Linked DNA regions of Astyanax mexicanus. The protein of the gene in region 3 purifies or fractionates together with the protein of the main gene of each other region. This does not show direct contact. Links are inferred from orthologs where the notes say so. Each region holds a gene or a part of one and is shown on either strand. Other genes may lie near its edges.

Region 1 (8,317 bases), on a different chromosome or scaffold from region 3:
TACCATCATATTGCCCACTTCTAACACATATGTGTGATGTATTGGATAAATAAACCATGACCATGTTTCTAAGAAAAAAAGCCGTCTGTGATATAAAGGACAATAACCAATGAAATAATAAATGCTCATTATACAGTGGTCTGTGATTTATTGGTTAAATAATCCATTGAATACAGATCACAAAATAGCTGTGCTCCAAATAGCAGTATATCCAACAGTATGTCAGCTAATACTAGAGTACTAGCTAGTTGGGATATCGCCCCAATCCTATAAGCCCCAGTTCCCTTAGCTAAGCTCCCATTCGAGATAAAGCTGTATGGGTTCGCTGTACTGGAGGCCCTGGGTTTGGATCCTCTGTTCATCCAGAGAAAGAGAAGTGAGAGAGAGAGAGAAAGAGAAAGCAGCTTAGAAACAAACTAGCCATATTAAAAAAGCCCACAATAATAAAGAGGAGAATTAAATTAGTGTAAGTACTGATTGATGAATTTAGAACAAGAATTTCTATCAAAACATTGTAACATTTTAGCTGTTTTTGGTTGTAGAATACTAATAAATGGTGTGTGGAGTTTACCTAATAGTAGCCATGTCTTAAATTTACCAATCTGACCAATAAAACAAATCTAATGAAGGCCTCAGCCAGCCAAATGTGCTCTAAAGAGATTCAATCTCAATGATCTGTTCAGTAATTCTACCCATGGATCATTGTTGCTAACCAGCACTGTGCATTTGGTGTGCCACATTTAGTTTTTTAGGTTATCATGTGCTTTTCATGATAATTCTGGCTTTAAAATGCAAATAGAACATTTAAATCTACGAAAAACATTAATTTAATCTTTAATTACCTTACTTTTATCCTGATACAGAAATTTCATTTATTTAATTTATCTACTTAGACGTCTGCAGGGCGTCTGGGAGCATGTTCTAATCAGGCCTGCAACTAATGATTATTTTGGTAGTTTCTGTCATGCCCCCATCCCTTCAAAATGAAAGAACTAGCTGAGCATAGGTTTTAAATGCGCTTTTAATGCCCAGATGATGTTTAAAAGTGTAATCTGTTGTGTTTGGGCACTTTAGGAGACTATTCCTACACCATTCCTAGCTCTTTGTGGAGTATGGTGCCGTTACAAATCAACGATTAGTTGACAAATTTGTCTATCTATATATCGACTAATTGTGTCAGCCCTAGTTTAGCTTTAAAGATAAACCCTGATTTCCTAGTGTGTCAGAAAAACTATTCAACAGGAGCTGCAGTGGTGTGTGATGATTCAGGCTGGATTGTGGCTGGAAGCGCCAGCCGGTCGATTCTCAATTAAAGCTGCAACTAATGATTATTTTGATAGTTGACTAATCTGATTACGGTTTCAATTAGACGATAAGTTGATAATGTTTAGAAGTGCACGGTTCTTATAGTATGGTGAGTAAATATGTAATCTGTTGTGTTTGGGTCCAAGTTGAGTGTGAAGGTTGTGAGTGAGCCCATTATCCCTCTCTTCCACTGTTTTTATCACTCCAAAGCATTTAGTGTAGTGCTGTGTTACGAATTAACAAATTAGTTGACAAATTTGTCTTTCTACATATTGACTAATCCTAGTAGCCATAGGTTACCCTTAAAAACAACTCTACAGGACCTGCAGTGGTGCGTGATGGCTGAGGCCAGAGTCTCAATTAATGATTATTTTGATAGTTGACTATTCTAATAATTACTGTTTCGATTAGTCGACCAGTTAACGATTATTCCCTTTAAATGCCCAGAGGATGTTTAAAAGTGAATAGTTCTGATAGTTAGTGAGTAAATATGTAATGTAAATATGTAAATATGTATATATGTATATGTGTTTGGGCACATTTGGAGACAGAGGCCAAGTTGAGTGTAAACTTTGTAAATGAACCCATTACTCCTCTCTACCATTGTGTTTTTCTCTGCCCACTATTTAGTTTGGTGAAATTTGGAATCATTACAGCCCTATAATATGGTGGTGAGGGGATTTGTTTATTTTTACTAGGTTGCAACAAGTAACTTAGACCACTGCAACGATTAGTCGACATAATTGATGAATGTTTACATTCAGTTTAGCTTGGTCTGTGTCCCCAAATATGCTCAAAAACAAACAAGTTAACTTAAGACATTAAAACACAACTGATTATCATAACTTTCCACATTAATTGAACATCTTGTGGGCGGTTTAAGAGTTTTTAAATCACAGCGGTTGAGAATATAGATATCATAGAAAATATAAATAATCATCGACTAATCGACTTATAAAATAATCAGATTAGTCGACTACCACAATAATCAGCTTTAATTAGAGCTACACAATGTTAGCACGGTTTGACAACTCGTTAGCTAAGCTAGCTTAGGTGATAACTAACCAGCGTTAACTAAGGCTAGAAGGAGCTGCAGTGGTGCTCGTGGTCGGGAGGCTGGAAGCACCAGCCAGCCGGTCGCTTCTCGATCTTTCTTTCTAAAGCGGGAGATCCACCTACCGATGTGCGTATCCTGGCCGTGAGGGCCGGGGACTCCCACGCTGATCTGGCGCTCGGGCTGAGGGATGCATTTGAGGCAGAATGAGTGCAGGCAGGGCAGGAGTTTGGGCTCACAGTCGCGGTTCTGGAGGCACTGTTTGCACACCGCGCACGTATCCAGCAGGTTGATCGGGGCGGCGGGCGCGGGGGGCGGCAGCTCGGCTGAGGGAGCCGGGGGAGACCCGCCGGCTTCGGCCGGGGCTGGTGTTGCGCTGTCACCCGCAGCCCCGGACGACTCAGCGGCAGCGGCGGTGGTGGTGTTCTCGGCAGTCGCAGTCTCGGTCTCAGTCTCAGTCTCCGTACTCCCGTTCCCATTATCAGTCCCGGTCCCGGTCTCGGCCTCAGTCTCGCCGCTGTTGCCGTCCGGGGTGCTGCGACTAGCGCTCACTTCTCCTCCACCTTCACCGCCGCCGCCACCCTCTCCACCTCCTCCGCCACCCTCTCCACCACCTCCGCCACCCTCTCCACCTCCTCCGCCTCCTTCTCCCGCGATGTCGCTGCTGTTCTCCCCGCCAACAGAGGTGGTAGCAGCAGCAGCAGCAGCGGCGGCGGCGGGCGGTGGTGGAGGTGTCGACTCCCGCGGACCGTTTTCCCCGCACTGTCCGTCGCTCCCACCCGTACCGGCCGCTTCTGTAACACCAGCCGGCTCTGAAATCACCTCCTTAGTGTCTCCGTTCACCGGGGCGGCGGGTTCTACCTCCATACTAGCCGAGCTCTCCGTCTCCGCTTGGCCTTTGTTGTCCGCCATCTTCCCTCCTCTTTGAACCGCCTGACGTCCAACACGACGGAGCTGCGTGCGACGTCATCACGCAGCAGTGAGAGGCGGGCGTCCGTGCGTCAGCGCGTTTAGCCAGTATCTTCAGAATACAGTATACATACATAATACAGTATTATACTAGAGTCACCCAGACTATAACATAACATATAATAAAACATATAATAATCTTAATAAACCTAAATTCTGGTTTCTGAAGCTGAAAACTAACTCTTCTAACTCTTGGTCTTCCCATACTGGGGTGGTCCTGAAGAGGGCCAGTTTCATCACATACTTTAAAGTTCTTGAAAGTATTTGGATTGAGTGAAATCCATTTCTTAAAGAGCCACTAAACCCTAAACTCTAAACCCATACATCACCCAGTGCCCCTCCCAAACTACCCTTCCCATTTTTTCTCAAGAGCACCAACATATATATATATATATATTTTTTTGTATATATTCTAGGTTCTAAAATTAAAGTAATATCCTAAACACATGGTTATTTGCTATCTTTATTGTTCTATTTTAGCCGTTTAGCTCCATTCACCCCCACTCATTGAGGACTCACTCGCGGGCTCCCTCTAGCGGTCTGTTGTATTTCACTGATATTCCGGCGGAGATGGGAGTGGGCAGTCTCTCCATAAACCAGCTCTGCGAAAAGTTCGTGAAAAACATCTAAACTTATCGATTTCTTATATATATATATATATATATATATATATATATATATATATATATATATATATATATATATATATATATATATATATATATATATATGGGTTAATTATTAAGTTATAGTTATTAGGAAGTGAGTCATTATTACCAGACACTAAGTCATAATTATGAGGTAGTGAGTCATTATTATGAGACACGAAGTCATAATGAGGTAGTAAGTCATCATTATGAGATAGTAAATCACAGTTATAAGGTAGTAAGTAATTATTACAAGACATAATTATGAGATAGTAAGTTATAATTATGAGGTAGTAAGTCATAATTACGAGTCACTAAGTCATAATTATGAGATACAGAATCTGGCAGTATTATCTAAAAATTCTGACTTAGTATTTCTTAATTATGACCTAGTGGAGGACCTTTATTTATTTCCAAGTGGTGGAAATGAGCTAAATCTAAAGTATAAAACAGATTCTGTTTTTTATTTATATCATAATACAGCACATGTTCCTCTTTAGCTTTAATCACTACATTATAAAATTTCCAAGGTAAAATCACATTAAATAGGGGAAGAGGTGTGTCCAAACTTTTGACGGGTACTTTATGAATCTTAGGTAAAGTACCATGTGTTTTCCTCGAGTTTCGTGTCTTCACGTGGTTTCCCTTTAAGAGTTTCAGTTCAACACATGAAGACGGAAAGATAAGGGGCTGTAAGTACTTTATCAGGTCAGGAAAAGTTCGTTAGATAATCTGTGTAATATAGAGCTGGGGGATGGTGCCAGGGGTGGGTGTGTCTCAAACCAATCCCTTATTCCCTACTTAGGGCGCTGTTTCATTTTCTAGGGAACATGAAGGAATGATGATCTCGGCTGCATTTAATTCTGTAGGGGTTAAACATATTCCAGCCTCGCAATGTTACCTGGATATTCCAGATATTATCTTATCATCTTACAGCACAAGTGACTACAACTGTAAACACTTCTGAAACTAGGCTTTAAAACCCACATACTTCTTTCAGTTTACTAACATTTTAGCTGCTGTAAAAAAAAACAACACTGGAGCCCTAAAATTAAACTATTTTATTAAAACTGATAAAAAATGTAAAAAATAAATTCAACGTGTACAAATAGGTCAGTTCTGAAGTAGGAGACCAATAGTGTTTCATTGCTGAAAATGAAAAATATAATGTTGATTTAATTTCCTTTTGCTATCTGGGTTTTGTAAATAATGTATTTAATCAGACAAGACTCTTCTATTAGTGTTTTATCAGAGCTATATTTAAGAAGAAACAGCACAAAAGGCAAGTCCCTCTCCACTACGTGGTGTAGCACAGTGGATAACACCACCTTCTCCATGGTACTAGGACTAGGGTTTGATTTTATATATGCGACTGGGTAAGCACAACAAGCTACAGCAATAAGAGTAGTTTATGTTATGGAGCTCCTAACATTAATCATGCCACAATTTAATAAATTGCTCTCTCAGTTAAATAAATAATTCTTTCAATATACTAAATCATTGTTAATGAGATTAATAAATTGTTCCCTCTGATTTTCCAATGTGTTCCCATGAAACTGATGACTTAATTAAACTGATGCTTTTGGGAATTGATTGTTTAATTATTTTTGCATAGAGCTTTTGTATAAAAAAATACTTAATGCTGCTATTTGATTAGTAGAGCTGATAAGATGAAGAAAGCCTGTAGAAACAAGTAAGTGGTCATAATATTCTGACTGGACTGTATTTTCTGTATTTGATTTTAAAGTCTTAGACTTGAGGAAAGTCCCGTAGCTTTGGGGCTAGCATGAAGGTTGGAATAAATGATAAATGGACTAAAAAAAGCATTAAAGAGTTTAATTTTTATGAACTGGAATGAGACTCTGAATAATGAAATACCATTATAGATTCATTAGCGCTCTCTGGTTGCTTGATTGAAGTGACAAATGAGGCCCAAAAGGTGGCCTAGTTTTTCATTATAGACAGTTTTCTTGCAGTTTCTTTGAGAAGTGAGCTTAGAATAAAAAGTTATGCTCATGAATTTGGCTGGCGAGATAGAGTCAGTGTGTATGCAACATGTAGGGATCTAGTTGGGCTTTTTAAATGAGCCCCATCATTACAGACCACCTTAAACAGCCAGGCTAAACAACCTTAAACCATATATTTTCCATTAATAGCTAAAATGTGTTCCTTTAAAGTAATGAAACATAGCAGCCCTGCTTAAATTTGTAATAAACATTTCCTAACCTTTAAAAAACACTTTTATTTATTTATTTTTTTTGCCTCTGCAGCTCCCTCTCAGGTTCAACTGTGCTATAGGTGAGGATGATGTTTACATGTACTTTGGTACACAGATACATCACAATAAGCAGATTAGTCAATTAATAATCCTGCCCCCTCTGCTCATGACATCCAACCATCTGCATCTCATTACCGCTATCAGAGGCACACTGCTGCTTCTGCATCTCAGCCAATCAGCTCTCCCTCCTGCCCTGCCTCTAAACCCATACATCACCCAGTGTGCCCCTTCCAAACTACCCCTCTCATTTTTCTAGCCTTTTTAAATTTGTGCTGAGGCTAGAGTTAGCAAAAATCAGGTAGTTTAGTGCCCTAGTGCCTTTAATCTCATATGGGTCCCACACAGGTTAAAGAAGAAATGCATGATTCGCCAAAGAAAGCTTTTATTACATTTGTACAGCTTAAAAATTATAAAAAAATACATACAAACTACCAACAGAGCTTTGCTGAGCTGTTTGGTACCAGGCTTTCAAAAACAGGTAACATTTCTGATGCCATTTCCTCTCTGGGACACTCCACCGCTATTCTCTGAAATGTCTTTTCCGCACACTTTATCCGAGTCCGCTGGTTATTCCAGGTTTGTCTGGGAAGATGCCTCTGGTTAGAAGTCCTGTCTGATGTTCTCTTTATTCTCCTCCCCCTGCTGCTGCCTCAGCTGGGTGACGTCATTCTCCAGCTGCACGATGGCGCGCTCGATCTCGTAGTTTTTACTCACAAGGGACACCCAGCTGTCAGAGGTAAAGATGCATCAGTCACGGTCATAGTGTACTTTAATAAGATCGTTGTTTAATATATCGTATTTTGTGGACTATAAGGTACACTATCAAAAAATGTCTATTTTTATACACTTAACTATAAGGCACATTTTAAATAACAATAGTAAAAAACAAGGTTGTCGCCATGTTTCCCTTCTAATAACAAAGCACATCAGTTTCCTTTTAGTAAGCTTAGATTTCCAATATTATAAAATTAGCAGCACCTAGCGCCAGAAAATGCAGCCTGACTGTGCTACACAGAGGAACCCTGAGTGTTCCAGTAAGTCAGGGTGATATCAGCTAGTGGTTCGTTCCATGTAGCTTGTTTTAACATGAAAAACATTCAGGCTACAGTTCGATATATACAGTACGATATGAACGCCGAAAGAGCTAGCACTATAGGTAGCAGCTAATGCTAATACTGCTCCAGTGTTGATGCTGGAGAAACTTTACTGAAACTCCTTAATACCTGACTGGTAAGATTCATACATAAGGCACACCTGATTACAAGGTGCACTGACGATTTTGTGGCAAAGTATAGGATTTTAAGTGTGCTTTATAGTGCGAAAAATACAGAAAAAATATTTTTTATTGGATCATAATACATAAAAAAAAATACTTTGACTCAAGCTCTCGCAGTTTGGCTCCTCCAGTGAGCTGATCGTTCTTTCTCTGCCAGTTCAGATCCTGAATCTGCTTTCTGAAATCACAAAAGTCAAAACCAAGGTGTTAAACAATCGATGTTTAAATATTTCCAAACTACATTACATCCAAACCATAGACTGTATACAGCTGGACAGAGCATCGTCTCTTAAAAGTGAAGCCACCACAGGTCGGGCGCCCCCTGCTGTTCGGCTGCAGAAAGCTGTGTAACTCCACCCATCCCCATAGGTTTCAATGGCAAAACAGACAACTCTCAATCACGTTTTTTTCTAATATGCTGTAATTCTACCTCCATTATTTAAATGCAGCAGCTAGTGTAACCTCTGCTTATATTGTCAAATTTTTATATCCCACAGAATTCGGTTTTTAAAACTTTATTCGGCTCTATTCAAAAAAGGTGTGGTTATGGTAAAAGGGCTGGTTATGGGCGGGGCCAATAACAGACCGTCAGCTCTGCTCCGCCCCGCTCTGCAGTCTGTGACCGCGAGGCAGCCCTCAGGGGCGGGGTTATTTAAATGAGTAGGCGGTCTCTCCACAGCCTTTCTCCCTCCTCTGGTCTCTACTGCGCAGACTCGGGTTTCAGAATCGCCAACATGGCGGAAGATTTTGGCTTCATTTTCATTGAATGAATGGGAACGGCGTCCATC
Region 2 (8,116 bases), on a different chromosome or scaffold from region 3:
CAGAGGATGAAGGTTATTCTTTACTGTTTCAAACATTTACAGGCACTGCTGTACGAGTGAGATGTACACGTACAAGCGAAAATCTTACCTGAACCAGAGATTTCTCAATGGTCATAAACATTTCAACATTCCTGTCCATTCTAGAAGGATTCTGGAAGTCGAACCTTCTCCTGGAACACAAACAAATAATCAGAAAACAGCTTCATTTCATTTTTTTTTCTAATATTAACAGCAGTTAGGTACTGCAGATTTCACTTCATAGATTAAATCAATTAAAAAAAAGTAAAAAGTATCTCACCATCCCTGGTCACTCTTAAACTTGTAAGCAGCAGCAAGTATGTGACACAAAGCTCCACCGGCTTTGAAATCCAGAAAACTCTTCATCTAAACAAACAGACAGAAATGTCAAGTGATACCTTGTTTAAACAGCAATATCGCAAATAAGCATTAATACAATTAAAATGCTCCCTATAACAATAGCATAGCTGTTAACAAACATATACGAATAAACACCACAGTGCTAGGTCTCACATGTGTAAATTAGTCAGATGCACGGTCTGTGAGTTGGAGATCAGTTGCTTATTTTAGAATACATTTACATTACAAATATATTTACAAATATATTTTAAATGTTCAGGTAATAACATATTATTGCTAGTTCATTTCTGATATTGTGCAGTAAACGTATACTCATTTTTAAAATGGTTTGCAGGTTATAGATATTATGGATGTTATTGACTCAAACTAAATGTTATAGTAAAGAAGATGAAGGTACCAGTTAGAAAGTCCAGTTAGAGCATCTTTAATCTGCCACAGCTGGGTCCTTGAGCAAGGCCTTTAACCATCACTTGCTCTTGGCACTGCTGTGATATTTTTTATCACTATATTTATCACTATATTTGTGGGATAAAGGTGGACGCCACATTCCATCTGTATGTCCAAAACAAGTATGGTTAATATGGCAGCTTATATTGTCTTGTCTTGTCTTACTAGACATACTACATTAGAATCCAGTTTTTCTGTTTGAAAGCAATGTTAAAGTGCATCTTTTTGGCAGCAGACAGGTTTTGGGAATGGGGATGTTTATGATAGTAACATGGGTAGTTTTTATGACTGTATGTGAGTGTGTGTATGAACGTGTGTGTTTTTGTGTACCGGTAGCTTGGTGAGAGGAGGGTTGCTGACATGCCGCCCGAAAACTTCCTCTTGAAACTGCAGCAGCTGAACAACCAGACTAGACAAAGACTTGTTGGTGGGAGGTTCTGCCTGGATATACTACACATGCACACACACAGAAACAAGGTGTTAGAATTCACAGTGTTATAAGAATATAAGGAAAGAGAAAAATAGGGGCGAGGTTAAGGAAATGGTTTGTCCTATAGCTCATAAGATTTTTTTTTACCTAATACTTAATTTGCTTCTAAAGATAATAGTAAGAGTCTGATGAATAGACATACCACCATCCAAAGCTGAGTAGCTATCCAAATAAAGTGTTACGGCATAATGTCCTTCTGGATATTTTGTGCACTTCTTGTACCTAAATAGTACTGCGCTTAAAATATATAAATAGTTACAGTAGTATAGTAGTTTACAGTATAAATAGTTTGGACACACCTTCTATTTCAATTGTTTTTATTTATTTATTAAACTTATTTTCTACATTGTAGATTAATATTAAAGATATGAAAACTATTAAGGGGCACATATGGAGTCACATACTAAACAAAAAAATGTTTGTCCTCCACATTCTCGTGATCTAAGCTCATCAGGATTTTAACCTTAACATATTTACAGTCATCTGCCCACAATAAAAAAAAACTTTAACATGGTAAGTTATCAATATTCAGAAATGGGTCTGGGCTCTTATGGGTTAATTTAAGACTTTGTGACTGATGTAGCTAGCTAAATAGATATATGGCTATTATTATTTTGGCTGAACAAAGCCATTGACATGTATAGCATTTACATTTTCACTCAATCATTTTTATAATGAATCTAGGTTAGCTTTTATGTACATGAAATATGGGAATGTAGCTAATGTAGCTATGTTATATAGGCTGGTTTCCTAGCTTAGCTAGGGTTAGGTTACATACGTCAGAATTAGTGTTAAAACCCCTTAAGGCTACAGGTATAGGTGATACAAAACCCTTTTTTCTGCAGTAAAATAAGTTATTCACATTCAGAAAATTTGAGGGCTCTGAAATCTCCTACAGGACACTGGGTTTGGATGCTGCCTGTTCACTTTCTACTGATTTGTATTCAAGATTTTTTTTATTTTAAAATAAAGTTTAGGAAAAGGACAATTTTATGATTTTATTTGTTATATTTTGACATTAGCAGATTTACTTATTGATTTATAACGTTATAAGTTCTATTACAATTACAAATACTTTTGAAAAAGGCTTTTTAGTAATGTTACTCGTCAAACATGAAAGCTTTTTATGTAAAGCTTAAATAGAAATGCTCTAGATTTAGGGGTATAATGTCAGGCAGACAATTGACAATAATCCTGGCCTGTTAAGGAGTTTTTATTGATTTATGTTATTCTCTCTCACAGTTGGTTTAGCTGGTGTTTCTCTCCTCTCGGGTAAACTGTTCACTATCAGACAGTATCAGACTCTTCACCGGGTCGGTGTGAAAGGGAGGGGAGGGGCAGATCGGCCGCAAAATCACAACACGCTGTGGCTTCACCTCCTATTACTAATGATCAGAGACGTAGCGTTACGGGATTTTACCGGAGCCTCTAAAACCGCTCCGGCCAGCGGCTCGAAGCGGAGCCAGCCTGCGGCTGCACATCTGGACTGGAGGAGAGCGGGCAGCCGCCGCAGTACCGTTAGTTAGCTCACAGCTAGCTTTCTCCTCCCCAGATAAAGAAAAACGTTGTCCAGCCCCTTCATGAAATCGCATTAAACATGGCTGATGGACCATCAGAAAAATATGGAAACAGCCGGAGAGTGCTGGGGGTTCGCTAGCAAGAGTTTAAACGTCTGTGTTTTATAAGCGATTCCCAAAGCGTTTAGTTATCTCTCCTCTTCTATTGTTTCGTTTCTCCTCAGCGGATTTAAACAGCTGGATTTCTCTCTCTCCATCCCTCCCTCCCTCTTTCCTTCTCCCTCTCTCTCCCTCCTCTGTATTACTCTCTCTCTCTCTATCTATCCCTCTGTGCACCGCTTTCTGCCTCTCCTCATCACTCTACCCACTTCCCACTGACTAAATTCCAGCGCAGAGCTTCGTATTAAATGAATAAAAGCGAGCAGTACCTTTTTGTAATTTTTGCCCAGCCAGACTCGGACATTGTCGAACTGTGAGACGGTATCAGACGCTTCGAAATATTTTACATTCGGGCCGCCGTCTTTCTTCCGTACCGCCATCTTTGTCTACATCCAAAACCATGGACGCGGCGCGCCGCCTGGCGGACACGCAGCGCCGTTTCTCCGGCTCAGCGAGAGTCGCTGAAGACGCGCTGAAACTGCGTCCATTCCGGCTCACATCAGATCCTCCAGCTGCCGAAGGAAACCATATTATATTGGAGCCAACATGGCAGAGCTGGACCGGCGGTGACCTCTCAGTCCCATCCCCCTCTACCTTCAAATCGACTCCAAAATTAAAATAAATAAATAAATAAATGAATGAATACTTGCTGTAAGTGTCGTCATATTTTCATAACCGTGGCAGGGGTTTGTTCCACGTGCTTTCAGATTCTTAACCGAACGTGTAAAAAAGTATTCACATTCATTACACAGGTAGATGTATAGATACCAGGGTTTAAAAAACTCAAGTAAAAGTATAACAGTACTGGTTTCAAAACTAGCTTAGTGCATCCCAAAATCAAAATTTCCAACATTAACATTTTAACCCTTTCAGACCTAAGTTATGTTTTAGTGATAAAAAATACATAAGAATGCTGTTTTCTGCCTGTAATGCACTTAAAAACAGGATGCAGTAAAAAATAATAATACATTAATTAATAATTAAAGATCAAATATAATATTTGTATTTTGTCTGTTTATTGCAGTAGAGTCATTTGTTTAACACTGTTGTTTTTATTTTTTTATATAACAAAACTTTTATAGTTTTTTTTATTCTACACACATTTTATTATATATTTCTATATATTTTCACAAATTATGTTTAGTCAGAAAAAAACAAGATTGGAAAAGATGTTTTCTCTGCCACGTTAGCTGGGATGCTACCATGCTTTACTTTAGTGTGCATGTGTGATAGATACAGGATATTTAAGGGTTAATAAAACATTATAATCATTACGGCTTTTAGAAAATGTGTTTTGGGGAGGGAGGGTAGTGAAGTATAGGACCCTGTGTCGTGGCCTAAGCTTTTGTCCTTAATGGTATTTTTTCCCTTTACATTACTTTTATACTTTTAAGTAGTTTTTTATTGCAGTACTTTTTTTTCCCATAGCTTTTTACAATGACTAGCCAGAAGAAAAATGATATTTTTAATTAGAACGTACAGATACTTTCTATAAGGAGTAAGGAGTAAAAAGTTGGCTGAAAAATAATTACTGCAGTACAGATAACAGATATTTCTACTTAAGTAAGGTAACAATTGTACTTCTTGACCTCTGAGATACTATGAATGAAGGCTCTAACTTTGGTCTCTAGCCAACTTTACTACAGTATCTCACCATTAGAGGGCACTGTCAGACAACCAATACGCACTTTTGCCCTTGAGTTGAGTTGAATTAAGTGATTTTTAGACCCAGTTCTGGAGACCCCCTGCACTGCATTCCCTGCCTCCAGCACACCTATTCTAGCACAACAGATAATAATGATCAAGCCCCTTTACAGCTGGATCAGATGTACTGGAACAAAAAAAGATAGCTGATGCTTCGTAAAAACAGCCACCAAGGCCTGGATTTAATGGCCTGTACACTGTAGCAGTGAATTTCAACTCATTCAGTTATAGAGGACCAGTGTCACCTCTTTGGTGATGTTCCTCCTTAAACAATGCTTTTTCAACTCATATCTTTTTAACCAGGTGTGTGTGTTTAAGGAGTTCAATAGTTCTGCCATGTCCATGTGTGGTCTGTATAGGCCAGTGATGGGATGAGGAGGGGCTCAATTGGGGCCCCATCCAGGTTTTAAAATGTACATGTGGCCTAGATATGACATGGGGGATTAAGGTAGGCTGTAGTGATGGAGCCAATAAAAACACATGTATAAACCCACTCAGAGCCCATGCCCACCTGAAACCAACAATCCACTCATATGAGCCCCACATGAGGAGGCTGGCTGGGAATCCCCAGACCTGCACAGGTTCTACACTGGGACTGAGAGCCACTTGTATTTTGGGTCTTAGCACCAATTGTCTCAGGAGATTTAGAGGTAATCTAACGTGAGATCAGCCCACCGACTCAGGAATTCTGAGTGCATTCCAGTCCTGGCATCATTGCACATTTCACCAGTTCTTTTTCTTTTATACCACGTTATGCTGACCAATATAGGATTATTAGATCTAAACTTAAACAAATAAGTCACCTAATAAATAAATGCACACTTAACACTACAGGTTAACGAAAATATTAAAATATTAAAAGGCTTTTAAGTATGCAAAAATAAATATTTACTCTTTTTTTAACAGACAGACAGACAGACAGACAGAAAATTTTGGGTTAATGACTGATCTCATTATTAACCCAACATAGAGAAAATGTCTGTCTGTCCCTCATAGGTTAATCTGATTTATTAGTAAGTTGCTATAAATGTTTTGTTATGGGACTGTTATAGGAACAGAGCTCGTTGTTTGGAAATCATATATTAAAAATAAAGATTCTTGAGACATTTGTCTTGATTGCCTCATGCTCCTGACCTACTGCAACAGATACCTACCTAACTGTTGCACTACCTGATTTCCACCTGGTTACTGGAAGCAAACGAAAGCATCACAGTTTAGACTAATGAGCTATAACGAATAGTGTAGGAATAGTGTGCAATCATTAATATTTCTTTAATATAGCTTACAGGAAGGTAGCTGCCTTTTTATACCAACATAATTTGTAATGTATTTTTGATGTATTTTTTTTTGCATTCCTTCATATCTATCTTTCACATTTTTCACTTAACAGTATGTATTGTGAGTATTGCCTGTTTTTTGGTAAATTGATAATGAGGGCATGGCTGGATGTAGACTGGTCTGCAGTTTCCTCTCCTCCTTTCCGAGGCTTGTTTATGTCACAGTTGTCTTCTTTTGTGCGGGTGTGTGTTTGTTTCTGTCTCGCCAACAGCAGCTCTTTGACCTTTTCGTTATCTACCCTCAAAAGATACTTGCAACCATTCCCCCTCATTACCAAGGATACAAGGATAAGTGTGAGTGCGTGTATGTGTGTGTGTAAATCTAGGAGATGGAGAGTGAATAATGATCAATACTGTCAGTGGCTCAGTGACTAATTAGTGTGTGTGTGTGTGTGTGTGTGTGTGTGTGTGTGTATGTGTGTGGACACAGAGAGAGAAAGAGAGAGAGAAACTAACAGTTATCCATTTTATTGTCTTCGTTTTCATTGTGTATATGTATTTTATTTTTGTGTTGTGTTTATTGTATGTATTGGTCAATGTGTGTGTGAACCTGTGTGATATGATTACAAATAGGTTTATTTTTGTGTGTGTGTGTGTGTGTGTTGTATTGATTATTTTAATGTGTGTAAGCTTGTCAGAATGTGTGTGAGGACCTTTCTATCTGGCCTTTAGCAGGGAGATTACTAATGGGGGCAAAGTCGCTCTTTTTCACTCACTCACACACACACACACACACTCACACACACACACACACACACACTTTGCAAGAATGATATAGTACCTAAAATATTCTGTTACTTGTTGCTTATTAAACCTTTAAGTCATATAGAGCAGGTTTTATGTCACTGAAAAGAAACATTGAACCCATCGTTAAACAAACAAAAAATAATAAAAAACCTGTAGCACAGCTGTATTGGTGTTGGCACAGGGCAATTGCTGGTTCGAACCCTATTGTTGGTTGAAGCCACAGCCATCTGGAACTGGAAGTCCTACAGAACACAGTCTGAGTAGGATGTCCCTCTTTCTCATCATCACTCTGTGTGATGTTTACCAGGGTGGGCATCTGTTACCTGATGCATCTGAACTGGATCCTAAAGAGTGTTCAGCTGTACAGTGATATCGCATTGGTTTAAAAACATGTTATGGATGGTGTAAAGTGATTTAAAGAAAAATGTTGTAAAAATACAGTAACTGACAAAAAAAAGAGTGTGATTACAAAAGAAATGATTACAAGAGAATATTAAGCCCCCATCCTGCTTCACTTAGTCCAATAATGCACCTCCTATCACAAGGACAGATTTTACATTATTTACAATCTGGGGTCATGTGCCATGTTGTTGTCAATGAGTGTATTCACTGTGAGGCATGGAGCTGATGAAGACAACTGCTTTGTAATAATATTATTACAAAATATTTATTTAATTATCTAAAATATTATAAATATTATTTAAGAAATAATTCTGAATCATTAAAGAATTGAGGTGTCATGAGTTGTTTATCCATTTACAATCATTGAGTTTACTTGAGGTCAGCTCCACAAGTTCCTCAAAACTGGATTCAGCTTGCCATAAGGTACCGGAGTCCTGAGAGAGCACAATTGGTCTTGTTCTCTCTGGGTGGGTAGATGGCGCTCTTTCCCCTCATCACTCCTAGGGTAATGTTGATCAACACAAGGCGTCTGTGAGCTGATGTATCGGAACTGAGTCGCTGTGCTTTCCTCCGAGTGCGCTGTGATGCTACTCGGCAATACTGCATCAGCAGCAGTTAGAAAAGAGGCAGAGTCTGAATTCACATGTGTAGGAGGAGGCATGTGCTGGTCTTCACACTTCTGATGTTGGGGCATCACTAGTGATAGGGGGAGTCCTAATGAGTGGGTTGGGTAATTAGCCCCAGAAAATGGGATAAAAATTAGAAATAAAATTATAAAATAACTGGATTTAGCTGGACTGCTGTGTTGTGTATTTGGGATGGTTTTGCTGTTGGCCAGAGGAGGCTCAGTTTCCTTTTTGAGTCTTGGTTCTTCTCAAGGGTTTGTCCTTCTCATGTGCAGGGTTTTTTTTTCTCAAAAGAGGCTTGAACATGTT
Region 3 (7,997 bases):
CCCATCCCAACATAGACATGTTTAAAACTGAAAACACTTCATTAATTCATCAGAAGGTTTTGAATATAGAAGAGAAACATGAATATTAAAGTAGATTCATAATAAGGCTGGGCAATATGATAATATTTTACTGTTATTGTGAATAAATAAATTGTCACAGTAGAAGTGGGCAATACAACAATATTTCTTTGTATTAGGATAAACTGTGATTTTTCAATAAACAAACAGTATGCTCTACTAAGCATTTGGTGGATATGATAAAACACCAATCAACTGCACATTTCATTAAAATAAAAAATAAAAAATGCATAACTATTTCTTGAGCAACTGGATGAAATTAAGCAAATTTATGAATATAAAAAAATCTCTGTATTTGAATAGCATTTTTTAATCTGCCACTACAGATTGAAAATAAAGTTTTCTATATTGATTGTTTTTTAACATATCCCACACCTGTGTCAAAGGGTGCCTTACTGAATATTCTAAACAGTTCATACTTAGAGAATAGACTCCGACTAAAATGTTTGATTAGTCCTCACACTAGTCCCTAACTAGTTCAAGATCATGTTTAATCGTATTTACCCTCGCAGTTTTATTTAAGATACTGTATTCAAGCTTCTGTCTTAGCTTACCACATTCAAGAGAAATGAAGTGTTCTGTAAATATACTGTATTCCAGTGATTCTAGTGTATTGTATCCATTGTATATACTGCAAGTGCCATATTTCATGCCTACATTATTTTATTTTGTCATACTGCCCACCACCAGCTAAAGTGACTTGCATTTACCTCAGAACAGTGTATTTAAGCATTAGAGCCAGATTTCAGTATTAAATGCCTCTAGAGTTTCAGGACTAAAGTCCATGGAGCTGATGAGTTCTTGGAGAGCCTGATCGCTAATTAATCTCTTTACACAGCTCATTTGGTGAGTAGAGAGTGTGAGAAAGAGTGTGGTTAAATGACTAACCGTTCTGTTATAACTCTTACTGTATGGGTTTGTGGGTATGAACACAACTGTGCCAAATTTAAGCATGATGGAGACTGAAGATATATGAAGATAAAAGCACCACACTAGATAGCAGCTGGATGCTTATGGCAAGATGTAGCAGGAACAAACTCTTTATTATAGACTAGTTAAAGAAATGTTTTGGCTTTTTTCTTTACAGTAGTCTGAAAGTGTCTGAATTACACATTAAATTTATTATTTTTCTGCACTTTCTATCTGTGTGTAGATTTTTGTTAAAAGTTAGCATTCTAACACCACCTGAAGTACTGAAACTGTCGACTGCACTATGTTGACAGAAGCATACTGTTAGTTGCTAGGTTCTCTCTCTTCTGCATAACATCCAGATATGCTCATTTCCTTTGTATCAACAACCAATTGTTAAAGAAAAAAGGGGGAGTTTCTTGATAGAAAGACACAAATACAAGTGCAGAGCTCTCCACTTCAGAAGCACCTTTTTACAGCGATGATGGGTGTTAAGAGTATTTTCTAATCTATGCAACAACAAAAAAAATCGGATATGTTAATACATTTAAACAAGAACTGAATTCAGCCAGACTGTATCCACTGTTCAGATTTCTGCTTTTAAAATGCATGCAAATGTTTATCCACATATTAAGCTAACTAGATAGTGCCTCATTTTTTAAACATAAAATTAATAAACGAAAACGTGACACAAGAAAAGAAATAGTATTTAACTGGGGCAGTTCAATTGTTTATAATTAGGGATTTAGGGGCAGATTTTGGTTAGTGCATCCCTGTTTATTTAATTTACAATATTTGCTGTGGTGTCTTGTCATAAAGGTCAGTGTAACTTTTATCAGTTAAATTTTGAGAGTTTGAGGCCAAATTTGATAAATATTGGATATAAAAATGTATATACTTTTAATTGTTTATTATTATTTCTGCATTTCACAAACAGAATTTTAGGAAAAATGAAATCTTCTCAATATTCTGATTTCAATTTTTGCATCAAAAACATCATGGTATAATAAAACTTACTTTTGTTACAACTGTGTTCTGACAGTTGCAGAAACGATATAAAACACATTATTCTAAAAAAAAAGTAATGCAGTGGTGCTTCAAAATGTTCTATTTCAGCCTCAGTCAGAAAATATTAACTGAGGCCCTACAAGTAAACAGGGTAAAAAAATAAACAGGGATGCAGTGAACGAATAACATTTTTTATGAAACAAGAAAAAATTATATATATTTCTGCACTAAGTAAATAGACTAGATATGTGATTGATCCATATTAATTATTCGATCTTGAAGTTGGTAAGTCATTATACAGTTCTGGAAAAAGTAAGAAACCACTTCAGTTTCTGAATCAGTTTCTCTGATTTACCTATTTATACGTATATATGTTTGAGTAAAATAATCATTGTTTTATTCTATAAACTACAGACAACATTTCTCCCATATTCTAAATAAAAATAAGATGCAGTGCTTTCAGACTTCAAATAATGTTCAAACAAGTTCAAATTATAAAGTTCTAAAAGTATAGAAGTTAATACTTGGTGGAATTAGCCTGTTTTTTTTTCATCACAGTTTCATGTATCTCCGCTCCTCAACCTTACACACTGCTTTTGGATAACTTTATGCCACTCCTGGTGCAACAATTCAAGCAGTTCAGCTTGGTTTGATGGCTTGTGATCATCCATCTTCCTTTTGATCATTTTTAATTTGGTAAAATCAAAGAAACTCATACTTTTTAAGTGGTCTCATTCTTTTCCAGAGCTGTATATCTAAGATATGTTGAGTGCCTCGTTAGTAGAAATCTTGTTTGTTTTTGTTTTTTTTTTGCAGTAGTGTATTCCTGAAATATTTTTTTTTTTATTTCAGTGTTTTGGTATATCCCAATGAGTATCATGATGATATATGAGCCATATCACCCACCCCTACTATCATAACTAGTGTCAGTTATTAATTAGTAGTTAGTTTAGGCAAATACTTAAATGTGTATTAGTGTGTTTAGTAAATGCATAAGCATTATTAAATTAAATGTTAAATTAAATGTTTTTTTATTGAAATCAAGATTTAAACTACACCGATAAACCGGTCCACACGTTGCCAGCAGTCTATGAAAAAACACGTAGCTTAGGTTAGCTAACCTAACTTACTTAGCTAACGTTACCCATCCACAGAAAAACAGGCCAGGGCCTACAGAAGCTGCTCTTTACAAAGAGGAGATATTAATAAATGGTTTTTAAAGGCTTCTGTGTGCGTCCAGCACTTACCTCGGGCAGCAGGACTGATGGAAAATGTGGAGAGGAGATGTTGTTTTATGGCTGCATGAAAAGCCCCGTCCGAGCGAGCGAGTCCCGGGGCGAGAGGCTGAGGCTAGCGGCTACAAACGAGAACAAACCCAGAGTGTGAATGCAGATGGAGCCGGCCACGGTTACACAAAAACACAGCACTGTTCAAGCATCTTTTAGCAGTATCTGTAACCGCGGAGAGGTGATGGTGCTGGAGAGGTGGCGGTTTTAGTGATTAAGGAGGTGTGTGTATGTGTGTTCAGCTCAAAAAACCGCTAAGTTAAGCTCGGAGGCTTCGCCACTTTGTTTGACAGAAAAATAAACAGGTTAGAGACGTGTTCGCGGAGCAGCTCCTATTTTCACCTATTTTTACAGCAATAAAACTCACCTTCAGGATGAGCCGCCGGCTTTATGCACACCCCAAAAATGTGTACGGACCCTCCACACCAAAACCTGGCGTTTATCTCCGTCCTCCAGGCTCTAAAAATCGATTTAAACTGTATTTTTCTTTCTCTCTGTAGCCAAATTACAGCAGCAGACGACGGTGGCCTCTCTCATATGGACAACCGAACCTTAACGCACTCAACGCGATACAGGCCCGCCCTCAGTCCCGCCTCTAGTCCCGCCTTCGTGCTGCTATTGGTCAAAATCTCAGCCAACGCGCTTCTACTTAGAATACATTGGTCAGCATCTGCCGTCAGTATATCCAAATATTAATTATGCAAAGCGGCCCGCGTACCCCATTGGTCGTCCAGACTCGCCATTCCCTCGTTGACGTTTGGATTCCAGGCCGCAGGCTGTGGTTTGTCGACGCGGCCGTCCGTCTGTCCATCTGTTTGCTTCGTAACCGAAGCACAGAGAGAGAGAGATGCGCTGAGAGCCGAATCGCAAAGTGGGTTAGATACGGCTGCACAGCCCCATCAAAGCAAACAAGCAGCGTATCCCTCCGCCATTCAACAAAGGAGAAACAAATAGGGCCTCAAAATAGCTTTTCTTCTATGGAGATTATAATTAAATATTTGTTGTGTAGAATTTATACAACTTATTTCACTTTTGATAAACTTTATACAAATATTTACTAGCATCGTTAAAAAAATCTGAATTTTAAGATATTTTTTGTGTGTTTTAAAATTTTACACTTTACAACTACGGTCACAAACAATACCAACACTTACGACATTAAACATTAAATATTGTTAAATGGTTAATAATGACAAAATGTCTCAGCTAATTATTCATTGGAACTAGTTAAAACATTATTAAACTTTAATATTTTTAAATATTTTTAATTGATTATTATATTTTAACGTTTTCCATAAATAATTAGATGAGATATTCGGTCATATGTACTGTTTATTAATGAGTTACTACTTTAAAGCGTTACTAATTTATTAAAATCAAAATTGATTCACACGTTGACTAAAAAAAGTGACATATCTAAGCATTTAAATCCTTTTGTTGGACTTCAAATATTTAATTTATAGTTTAAAAAATCTGAAACCATATAACATTTATAACATTGTTTTTTGTGTGTTTTAAAATTGTGAGATGGTAAAATTTGCTGTTGAAAAAAAAGTACATTTAAAATATGTAAATATATATATTTATAAAATTATTAAATTAAGATAATATTAATAAGATATTACAATGGTAAAATAAAAAGTGAATAAAATAATAAGCCAAAGTATCAAAAAGGTTAAAAAGTTTTTTTTTATTTATATAAGAAGATTGTTATTTCACAGTGAAAGAGTTTAAATGGGCTGGAACTGTAATAACTCATTCCCAGCGTGTCCAGCAGACGGCGCTGCTGTAAGTTTGGTTTGGTGTGTGTTATGTATTATTGGTTGTCAAGAGCAGCTCAACACAGAGCCTGGCTGAACTGCACAGACATTTACCTACCTGGCTAATCCGGTTTTATTTAATAAGAGTTTTTTTTTTCAGCAATGGATTCATTAATTTGTTCTAGATGTAATATGACGTTCAGATCATCAAATTTTCTGGCAAAGCATCGGGAGAAGTTCTGTATTGGAAGTGTTGGTCAGAATGAAGAGTCTGATTTCCATCAAAACCTGGTAAAATTTCATGTTTCATGTTATATGTTTAAATGTGTATGCTATCCATATCTACTGTGGAACCAGATCTTTATTGTGTCTCACTGTGAAGCTAAAGTCTGATTGCATGGACAATGTTTGCCAGATGCTGCCAGTCCCATAACTTTTGGCATGTCAATACAGGATGACACACATTTTTACTGATGTCTGTATTAATTTATATTTTATATATTATAAGGGTTCTTTAGTAAAGGCACCAGAACCACTTATACAGAAAGAAATATGTAGAAGGGCAATTCCACCGAATAGGTGCAATTTGCTTGTTGTAACGCTTCCAAATTAAGCTTTTTATTTTTTTTTTCAACTCTGAATCTAATAACATATTTAACTATTTAAAACATGTACTGGTCAAACTCAGGCAGCTTTACTTATGTTTTTTGATTAAAGTGTTAAGGTTTCAAATCCGAAGATGGTTACAAAATTCATGTTACATTTAAAAAAACACTAGTCCACTAATTCCTTTGATTTTCTCCCAAGAAAGTCTTTTTTTTAAAGAAAGTCTTTTCATTTAAAAAAAAATGGTTGACTGCATGTTCAAATAATTATTATTTATGACAAAAAAACTCATTCCTGTTATTTTTATGTTTTTTGAGTACAACTGTGAAAGTCATAAAAGTAAACAAGAATGGTCTATGGTTTTTAGCATGGAATTAGCAAAAACATAAGACATAGCTAAGTTGCGGCTATGCTAATAGCATGAGGACACTAAGCACATTCTAGTGATTTTCCCAAAAGGAACTAATTCAGGTAACAGGAAGTGTTAAGATTGAGCTCCTCAGTCATAGTTACAATAAGATCAAATAAACAGAAAAACAAAAGAGGGAACTTACAGTAATTTTGGTCTGGATTTTGGTATGATTTTCAGAAGAACCAGCTGATGTCACTTCCTGTTGTAGAAGTGACTTGTAGAATGTTTTCAGATGTTTTAGATGGGGTAATGTGTTACGGTAACAGGACTGAGTGAAACCCAGTGACACAACTAAAATGTGTATTTTAACATAAACATTTTTATGGACGCCCATTTCCGCCACCTAAAATAAAATAAAAAATCCAGCACATTTTTTTCTTATTATTAAGTTAACTGCCATCTTATTTTTTGAGATAGTAAGTCATTTTTTGAGATACTATCTCATTATTTTTAAAAACTATTTCATTATTTTGAGATAATATCTCATTATTATGAGATAGTAAGTCATTATTTTGAGATAGTAAGTCATTATGTTGAGATACTGTCTCATTATTTTGAGATGCTAAGTCATTATTTTGGGATACAAAGTCATTATTTTGAGATAGTAAGTCATAATTATTTTAAAATATTTTTTCTGAAAGCAAACACACTTGCTATCTCAAAATCACTTAATATCTCAGACTAATGAGGTAGTATCTCAAAATAATGAAAAGTATCTTAAAATAATGACTTACTAGTTGGTCAAAATGGGCTTCCATAAACTTTTGACTTATTATGAACAAAACATTATTAAAATTATTAAAAAACAAAAAAAAATTTTAAACATAGATGGGATTTGAAGTCAAACAGCAATGCAAAAAAGAAATACATCTCTGAAGGATTTTAATAATTATATTTCATGGTAAAATGTATAGTTAGAGACTGGAGACAGGTAACAAATGCTATTTTTTTCAGTGTTTAAAGTCGTTTTTATTAATGTTTTTAATTACATATTTTACTTTTGCAATTACACCATTGTACAAGACACTATGCTTAATAATAAAATGTATTTTAAAGTTATTTCTGCACATTTATACATGTATTTCCTGAGGACAGAAAAGGCACCCATTTGGTGGAATTGCTCAAAAATACATAGTGTCCTATATGATATGAGGATATCTGAAGTACTTGTATTGTTTCATACTTCCACAGAATGAGAGGATAAGAGAATTGAGGAGGATACGGCAGCAGGACAGGCCTAATGCAAGAGCCCAACTCAGCCAGCAGAACATTCACACACCAGCTCAGAACCACATGCAAAAACCCAGCAGTGAACCAGTAAGAAACACATATAAACAGCCCCACAAATGTTTTATGACCTCTGCTTTTATTGGTTTTGCCTGAATTGCAGTAATTTTAGTTCATTTAGATAGAGATGAGAGTGTATGTGTGTGTGTGTGTGTGTGTGTGTGTGTGTGTGTGCATGGACAGACAGCAGGCAGGTCAGAAGATCAGCTCCTTCAGATCCAGCCAAAGATGGACAAGCAGAAGATGGTGAGATCTGCTGACAGCAAACATCTAAACCAGCACAGAGAAGGTAATCATGAGCTGACCCTTTTTGCACAATTACTCATGCATTAAATTAGTTTTTTTTATTCATAAATTAGCCATCTGAAGACCCACTGGTTGGTTGCAGAGATGGACCTGCAGGAACTGCCTGCTCAGAACAGGAAAGTGGCTCTGCTGGAGGAAATGCTGTTCGAGCTACAGGAGCAGGAGAAGAGGAACACCAGTCTACTGGAGTCCCTCATGAATCATCTGCAGCATGTTCCACGGGAGCCTAGGTCTTTTACCTCTAAAGAGTAATTTCTTTTAAATTATTTTCCAATTAAAAAATTAAAGGTATTCTTTTTTTTTGAAGAGTGCATAGATACCACTATGAGCGGGAGGTGGCAAGTT
Region 4 (8,462 bases), on a different chromosome or scaffold from region 3:
CATGTTAAATTAGGTAAAGAATACTAAAAGTGCATTTTCTGTTTAATATACTAAATTAAAATACACATCAAATATACTTTTTTACTGTATTTACATTAAATGTATTTTAAGCAATATGCTTTGGTGAAATAACCCTGGTTTTTAATCACAGTTTTTATGATTCCTGGCATGTTCTCCTCCACCAGTCGTACACACTGCTTTTGTATAACTTTATGCCACTCCGGTGCAAAAAAAAATTAACAGTTCAGCTTTGTTTGATTGCTTGTGATTATTCATCATCATCTTGATTATAGTTCAGAGTTTTTCAATTTGGTAAAATCAAAGAAACTTATCATTTACTTGTCATTTCTGTACATTCGTTTACTACAGTTCGTGTTTGATGAAGTGATTAGTTAATAAAGTTATTTATTTATCCAGCTTATCCAGGTAAACGGACGGGGGGGAGCGGATGTAACGTTATTTGGGCAGTTTCAGTCCTTAAACAGTTCTGCACTCTTAAGTTACTCTTAAGCTCCTAAATGAAGGCTAAACAAATAACAGGTAGCTGAAATAAACTTATTTTTGACATAAACACAACATTAACAGAGGCAGTTAGGCTGACTGAACAGAAGAACTGTGGCTAGCCCGGTAGGTTGGCTAGCTAGTTAGCTAGCGTAGCTAGTAGACGGCTTAATCAATTTGCTATCATCTAAAAAAACGTTACGCTAATGTTACATCTCACTCAAGACGTCTAGCCAACGACAGTCTCTATTCTAGCTGGCTGGAAAAGCTCACGGTTCAGGCTGAACACCATCAGTATCGGTTTATCTGTGTGTTTAACGTTAACGTTAGCCAGCGAGCTAGCCAACCCAGGTTAGCTGCTGTAGTAGTGAGGCTGTGTAGCTAGTTGTTACTGAGAGACGGGCTGCTGCTGCTCTCTGTGCCGAGTGTGTGTGTGTGTGTGTGTGTATGTGTGATAGTGGTCAAAACACAATCTAAACACATTTACCGTTAAATAAAGTTCAGTTTAAGCGTTTAGATGGATACAAGAACATTTCAGCACAGGTTTACAGCTGTGTAATAATGTGTCAGCACATTTAATCACGTTTAATGGTGTATTTCTCTCTCTCTCTCTAAACCTAGCTAACCTAACGTTACCACTGGGGCTTGGGAATCACAACATTTCTTCCAGCAGAGCAAAAGTAGGTTAGTTATTTAGCTGGCTTATGTTGAATCAACGTTTTCAACATATTTCAATCTCTAATGCGTTGAAACAATGTTGATGTAAATGCCAGGGTTGATTTAGATACTATTTGTCCATTTTATTGAGTGTACATAGATTTTAGGTTGGTTCAACATTGATTCAACGTTATGGTTTCATATGTAGCTTAGTTATTGTTTGTTTTAGAAAGCTTAACTTGTTTTATTTAGCTAACTACATTAACCTGTTATAAATGTAGCTAGGTGTAACCTAGGTAACTCATTAACAATTTAACTACAATAAGTGTGCACATTAATTTGCAGTACTTAGCTAGCTTAACTAGATAATTCTTAATTGACACTAGTTAAGACATTATGTATCATGATAGAATGTTTAACTAATGTCTTAATGCATTGTAGGCTATATACACCATTCTCAGGCATTACAATTTAATAAATCAACAATAATTAGACATTGAGACTTTAGGTTACTTAACTTACAAAAACTTAACCCTATTTAACTTAGTTAACCAAGCTGGCTTATGTTGAATCAACGTTTTCAAAGCGTTCAAACAACGTTGATATATCAGACTATATCAATGTCAGATATGATTTATTTAGCTAGTTTATTTAGTGTACATAGATTATAGGTTTAATCAACGTTTTGTTTTCACATGTAACGTTAGCTAATGTTTGTTTTAGAAATCTTACTAGCTAACTACATTGTCATAAATGTAACTAGGTTAATTAGCGTTAGCTAGCTACCATTGAGTAGCTTATTAACGTTAGATTATTAACGTTTATTAACGTTAGCTAACTAGTTAGATAATTATTAACTGAAACTAGGACATTAAGACATTATTTGTCATGGCAGAATGTTTAACTACAACGTTCTCAACCATTAAAATTTAGTACCAACAACAATAAATTAGACACTGAGACTTTGAGTCATTAGGTTACTTAACTAGTTAGTACTGTTAATTGATGTAGGTTAGCTAACTAACCTACATTGTTATAACTGTAGCTAGCTAGCGTTAATTAGCTTATTAACACATTAATTTACAGTACTTAGCTAACGTTAACTAGATTATTAATTAACTGCCACTAGTAAAGACATTATTTATCATGACAGAATGTTTAAATAACGCCTCGATTCATTGTTAGCTACTATCTACAACATTGTCAAACATTACAATTTAGTAATCAACAATAGGTCACATTAGGTTACTTTACTAGTTAACTAGCAAGGTTAGCTAGTTAGTTAATTAGGTTAATTAACTACACTTATTGTAAAGTGTTGCCAATATGTACAGCTAGGTTATCTTGTTTGTATTCTATTCTTAAAGCATGTAATTGCTGTGTTCAGAGCCAGTTCATCAATCCATTTAACGTTAACTTATAAACCTCTACTATGAAGAGTTGCCAACTTTTGTAGTTAGCTAGTATCGTGGGGAGCATTAAATTCAGACCAAACTCCTTAACGAACTACGTAACCTAAATAGTTAACTAACATACGCTAGTAAGCTGTTAGTTAACTAAGCTAGACTGCTAGAGGACTGTGTTTGTTATTGTTGTAGTTAGCGAAGCGCTGTTGATTCTTCACAACAACACAAGCCAGGTCGCCTTCGCTCTTTTTATTTAGCTAACGAGCTACGTTAGGTTATCTGTCCTGTGTTTAGTTATCTCTTCCCCTCGGTTTTTTCTCTCTCTTCTCAAAAAGAAAACACAAAGAAAGAAAGAAAACATTCCTCCGAAAGCTCAGCTCTCTCTCTGACCTGCGCCATCTTTGAAAAGAGTCTTTGGGGCCGTAGCTCCTTGAAACAAAGAGGAAAAACAGCGGACTCTCAGACAGCAAAACTTCACGGAGCAGAGGCTGAAATAACGGAGTTGGGGCGAACCACAGCCCGGCGGCGCCTTACCTTCAGACCCGCCGATCCGCGTCCCGAACAGCAGGACCAGAAACAGCAGACAGCGCGGTATTGCATCCATCCTCGGATCAGACTTATTCTACACTGCCTGCTTGTCACACACACGCGCACACTCACACACACACACACATACACATACAACTTCTCTCCAGCTAGCTAGCTAGGCGTGTGTGTGTGTGTGTGTGTACGGTGTGTATGTAGAGAGAGAGAGCAAGGGGGGAGAGAGAGAGAGAAGCCTGTGATAGGCTGGAGCCGCCACTCCCCGCCCAGACCCAGGAAAAAAAAAAACTCACAGTAGACCGACAGACAGACAGAAAGACAGACAGATTCACAGCATTTCTCCTCCTACTCCCCCTGATCTACACTCTCTATACACCCGCTACAACTGCTTTAACACTTTAACAGGTGATACACACAGGTATGGAGGAGTGTTGAAGTCATGTATACACAATACTCTGGTGATATTCAGCACCAATCAAAAGCCTGGACACACCTTCTCATTCAGTGTTTTTCTCTATTTCTTTATTTCATTTATTTTCTACATATTTCATTAATATTAAAGACATAAATAACTATTAAAAGGGACACATATGGAATTATGTAGTAAACAGTAAATAAAAAGCGTTTGTCCTCCACAATCCTCTGATCTAAACCTGATCAACTGAGATGGTGATTTGAGGTGGTTTGGGATGAGCTGGAGCTTCACAGCTTGAAGGAAAAGCAGCAGCTTTTGTTCAGCACCTCCAGGAACTCCTTCCTTCAAGACGCTGAGAAAACTATTCCAGGTGCCTCTACCTCATGAAGACACTGAGATTAAAATACCAAGAGTGTGCAGAGCTGTCCTCAAAGATAAATGTGGTACTTAGAAGAATCTAAATTATTAAACTAATTCAGATTTTTTTAACAATTATTTTATTTTTTTATTTATTTAAGAAGCACCATATTCACATTTGTGTTGGACACAGATGGAATTTGGCCTCTGCCTCTAACCCACCCATATAGTGAACACACACACACACACACATGCCCGGAGCAGTGGGCAGCCATTGGCCTTACTCAGACATCCAACAATGGCAGTGTGTCAAACCAGGGTATCAAACCCACAATCCTGTCATCATTAACCCTATACTTTAATGATTGAAATAACAATTTTTTCCTATTAGAAACAGGTCAATATTTTAGTACACTTTTTGCAAATTCTGGAATTAAAAAAAAAAATCTGATTTCAGGATTTGCTAATAGATAAGTAAAAATGTAATTTTAATACACTCTCAAAATATTAAGGTATTTACTTGCAAGAAATAGGTACATATTTTGTATACTCTCCGACTGTCTTTACAGTCTAAAACAAAGGTTTAAGGTACTCCTGAAAAAAATGGCACCTTTGCTTATTTAGTGTAAATAATTAAACAAATCTTCTGCTGGAAACTCAAACTTCGATAAGTCACATCACTGTCCCAGAAGAGTAGTGACAAGTGTTCAAATACACTTACAAGATAACACCTCACAACTTATACAGGTGTGAGTGTTCCCAAGCCCCCAAGGTAACATGCTCAGTTTGCATACTGATATCCCATGACTTTTGGCATGTCAGTGTAGGTATAGTGTATATTTTGTGAAATAATAGTATAACTTATTTTCACTTAGAAAATCAACAACACATCATTTACTCAGGGGTAACCTCTTGCATAAGTTGCATAAGAGTGAGGAGAGAGGAGAGTCTTATTAGACTCAGTGAAACAGAAATAGTGACTATATATGTCAAGACATTTCAAAAAAGTCTCATCGACCGTCATCACAGTGTGCATCGAAGGCTTTTATACTTTTTAAAGTTATGTTTGACAGTGAGTAAAAGTTAAATGATTAATTAAATAGAATTGAATGTGATCATATGAAGCATAGACTGTATATAGCTTATATCTTTTTACAGTCATTGATCTGAAGTAAATAGGGTTTGATACAACCAGTGAAGCCACAGACAGGGTTAAAATCAGACTGAGGATTGTAAAAACTGCAAGACAAGGAAGAGGATGGCTCAGCTGCTTTTTAGATGAAAATATGAAACATTATGTCTGATGGTAGATGGGCAATAATAGTAAATCATGAGACCTGGATATTTCTTCCCTGTAATCAGGAAAAAAATAGAGTCTAGTAGCCTTTATTCAATACTGCCAGGCATTTCAGTGACCTAGAATGTCTGAAAATATTCATATCTATCGGTAGACTTAAAGATAGACCTACAAAGAAAAAACAATGTGATTGATTAAGCACATTTGGTTTAATATGACCTATATAAAAACAGTACTTTAATGACAGAGAAAAATAATTGCTTAGGCTTATTACTGCTTAGTAATTTTATGTAGTTCCAGTGCTGTCTATATATAAAAACTAAGCTGTAAAAGTAACTTTGAATTGATTGTTTTGTGATGTCACAAAAACAATACATTTGCACAGTATAGTCTTCCCTTTAATTAATTCACATATGGCAGCTTAGCCCCGCCTATTCAGACTCAAGTTATAGGGGGTAGTTCAGCCCACATTGCTTTCTGAATGAGATGCAATACAGGGCAGACACTCAGAACTCAAAACTCTCAGTTTTAGAGGCACAGTTACAAAAGCAGACTGTTTAAATTTAAGTAAGAGCTAAAATAATGTTGCATAATGGTCATGTAAAAATGTAGTATAATATATTATACTTAACGTAAATTACACACATTGAAAGACAACCAGATAGATGTTGCTATTTTACAGCCATTACATTATATAAATATAGATTCTCATTATCTATCAATAATATATTTAGCTAAAAATGTTTTTAAAACGGAATTAGTATCACAGAATATACTGCTCGACAATATATCGACCAGCACATCTCCTAAAGTCATGGCTGCAGTGCCTTATGCATATATTCATCAGGACAGGACAAAGAGCCTGACCTCCTGCAACCTCTAACTCCCGTTCACCCATCTACGGTGACAGAGATTGACGACTGCCTATTGTTTGATGTCCGCCTGGGCCTCCTAGGCCTTGGATACAGGCTTTGGATACTGAGCAGTGGCCCCATCCACTTCTTCTAGCTACCTAAAAACCCTTGTGCTTAAAAAACATAGGCTATCGACTCGGGCTGCAGGGGTCCGGGGGAGCACTGGGGTCATCAGCAGGAAGCAGAGTCCTTTACATATTGCTAAAGCCTATATTTGCCTGTCCATGGACTGTGCACCCTTAGCAAAGCAACACAAACACGAGCGGCATTGCCTGGTTGGTTGTAATCAGCCGGTGCAGGCCGTGGACTGTCGGCACTTTTATCTGCCGTCCCTATTTTTGGTGATCGTAACTGGGTTCAAAACAACCCCCATCGCCAATCACTTGGCTGCCATCTGGACGTCGGCCATTGCGGTGTGCCTTCCCCAGTTGGATCTGACTGCAGGCGGGGAGGGGCTCTGAGTGCAGACCCTGCAGTGTCATATCAGCTGGCTGCATGTCTAGACAAACGTTGGACTTATCAGTCAGTAATGAACCTAAATGAAACCCTCATTCAAGCATGCACAAACTGTTTACATGAGCTAAGTACTTGTGTGGCATTCATTTACACTTCCTCCACAAATCAGCTTAAATAGATGCACAGTGCAGAAAATAGAGGCTAAATATATTAACCATCAGTTATCAAGTTATCATATATTCATTATCATGTTTCAGTTGTATGGAAATGAATACTGGCATTGAAAAAATGACTGGCAGCAGAAGGATAACAAGAAGAGCCAAAATGTAAAAATCTTCAATAAACAACACCAAGATAAAATATTCCCAATTATTTACTGCCATATTCACAACAAATCTGCTTTGTATAAATTCTTATCTTGGAAAAAAGGGCCTAGGCATAACTTTGAGCCATACTGGCAAAGGCCTGTGCCGCGTCTTGCCTAAATTTGCGCCGAAAGTCCGAAACAAGCAATTAATTTATACTGTGAGATTTGGAGTGTGATATTCTAAAAAAAGAATCCCTGGCTATTAAGCATTAATGGGAGTTAGCGATAAGTAGGGCAAACACAAATGTGTAAGCTTAAGGGAATATTTTGCCCTGGAGTGCCATTCTTCAACAAAGTACATGGGCCAAAAAGATAACAGCATTCGCTTGCTAATTAAACAAATACGCCGTGTTACATCATGAATAACAGTGCAGAGCTGAGAGGAATTAGTACTCTTTAAAAGGTGTTGTGAGCTCTGGGATCCTGCAGGCCCTGATTATGGCACATTGTTGAGATGGTATGCAATGATAAGATGTGACATTAGAGATTATCAAAAAAATATCAACAACACAGTTTATCTTAGATTTATTACTGTGAGGAAGAAAAAAAATTTAAGCAAGTGAGGCCTCAGGACAGATGAGTATTTTTTCAACAGGCAATATAGGTAAAAGATAGACAAAACACCGGTTGTACGGTCAATTGAGACTCAAGTATCACACATCCTTTTTTATTCCATATATATATGGAAGACAATATGGAGTTTTGTCCCCAGGTGGTGGAATGGATGAGCAAAAAATAATTGAAGTGTAACGAAAATATTACCGCAACTACTTTAACTATTGTGGGCTCTATTTTTACAACTTTACTGGACAAACTAATATCTATAGTCTTTTGTGCCATTTGCCCAGTGCATTCCTTCTGATTGCAAACATTGTAATCAATGAAGGCCACTCCGGTCGGGTTCCCAAAACCCAAAAACATGTAAAGCTAAGTCCTTCGTAACCTTGTAATTAAGAACATTCTGAACATGTATGAACATTTTCTAAAATGCTTTTTAACTAACATAGTACATAAAAACTCATTTGTTAATTTAGCTAGTCAACTCAGCTAGTCAATCAGCACCAGCTTGCCAGATCAGCCTCACCTGTGTTTTGATTCCTTTCAGCTGTTTAACATTGTATGTAAACCGGTCTGTTTGTTCTGCCTTTTGCAAATGTCTATTTCTTTTTATTTCCTGTTTATGGCTTTGTCTTTTCTTGTTTTGTCTTTGCTAGTTTACCTTGGTATTTTTGCTCTGGTTTTTGACCCTTTTTGTCTACTGTTTATCCCTTTTGGACGGTGTATTTGGCTCTGTTGTTTTGGTTAGGCTTGTCTCTGGTATTTCCCTGTGCTTGTACTTTGACTATGTTTTTTGGATCAGCCCTGTTGATTAAAATTACTCCTAATTTTAACTGCAAGCGTCTCACTCCTGTGGCGGCACATACATTATGTTTTCTTCTTTTAGCCTAATGATGGACACCTTCATTTGTATCAACACCATTGAGTTCCATTGAATGAACAGCCACCAAATGTGCTGCAAATTTAGCAATGGGAATCAACTTCAGATTTT

The links.
Region 1: the proteins of smad2 (region 3) and trim33 purify together in Homo sapiens (affinity purification with western blotting; 7 studies listed by BioGRID and IntAct, with this or other methods). This does not show direct contact. The link is inferred for Astyanax mexicanus from reciprocal best matches to the Homo sapiens genes SMAD2 and TRIM33.
Region 2: the proteins of smad2 (region 3) and smarcc2 purify together in Homo sapiens (affinity purification with mass spectrometry; 3 studies listed by BioGRID, with this or other methods). This does not show direct contact. The link is inferred for Astyanax mexicanus from reciprocal best matches to the Homo sapiens genes SMAD2 and SMARCC2.
Region 4: the proteins of smad2 (region 3) and tgfbr1b purify together in Homo sapiens (affinity purification with western blotting; 8 studies listed by BioGRID and IntAct, with this or other methods). This does not show direct contact. The link is inferred for Astyanax mexicanus from reciprocal best matches to the Homo sapiens genes SMAD2 and TGFBR1.

What each region holds. Positions count from the first base shown.
Region 1 is NC_064419.1:2,136,648-2,144,964, reverse strand, and holds the start of trim33 (E3 ubiquitin-protein ligase TRIM33), read right to left. Parts: upstream 3,308-8,317; 5' UTR 3,272-3,307; coding exon 2,485-3,271; intron 1-2,484. Other genes in the region: bcas2 (pre-mRNA-splicing factor SPF27), read right to left, coding at 6,854-6,980, 7,627-7,707. UniProt on the Homo sapiens protein: Acts as an E3 ubiquitin-protein ligase. Promotes SMAD4 ubiquitination, nuclear exclusion and degradation via the ubiquitin proteasome pathway. According to PubMed:16751102, does not promote a decrease in the level of endogenous SMAD4.
Region 2 is NC_064412.1:17,017,179-17,025,294, forward strand, and holds the start of smarcc2 (SWI/SNF complex subunit SMARCC2), read right to left. Parts: upstream 3,408-8,116; 5' UTR 3,372-3,407; coding exon 3,261-3,371; intron 1,276-3,260; coding exon 1,156-1,275; intron 385-1,155; coding exon 299-384; intron 171-298; coding exon 89-170; intron 1-88. UniProt on the Homo sapiens protein: Involved in transcriptional activation and repression of select genes by chromatin remodeling (alteration of DNA-nucleosome topology).
Region 3 is NC_064427.1:23,597,928-23,605,924, reverse strand, and holds the start of smad2 (mothers against decapentaplegic homolog 2), read right to left. Parts: upstream 3,831-7,997; 5' UTR 3,649-3,830; intron 3,353-3,648; 5' UTR 3,243-3,352; intron 1-3,242. Other genes in the region: coiled-coil domain-containing protein 17, read left to right, coding at 5,204-5,332, 7,251-7,376, 7,530-7,635, 7,735-7,900. UniProt on the Homo sapiens protein: Receptor-regulated SMAD (R-SMAD) that is an intracellular signal transducer and transcriptional modulator activated by TGF-beta (transforming growth factor) and activin type 1 receptor kinases.
Region 4 is NC_064413.1:43,270,781-43,279,242, reverse strand, and holds the start of tgfbr1b (TGF-beta receptor type-1b), read right to left. Parts: upstream 3,298-8,462; 5' UTR 3,169-3,297; coding exon 3,099-3,168; intron 1-3,098. UniProt on the Homo sapiens protein: Transmembrane serine/threonine kinase forming with the TGF-beta type II serine/threonine kinase receptor, TGFBR2, the non-promiscuous receptor for the TGF-beta cytokines TGFB1, TGFB2 and TGFB3.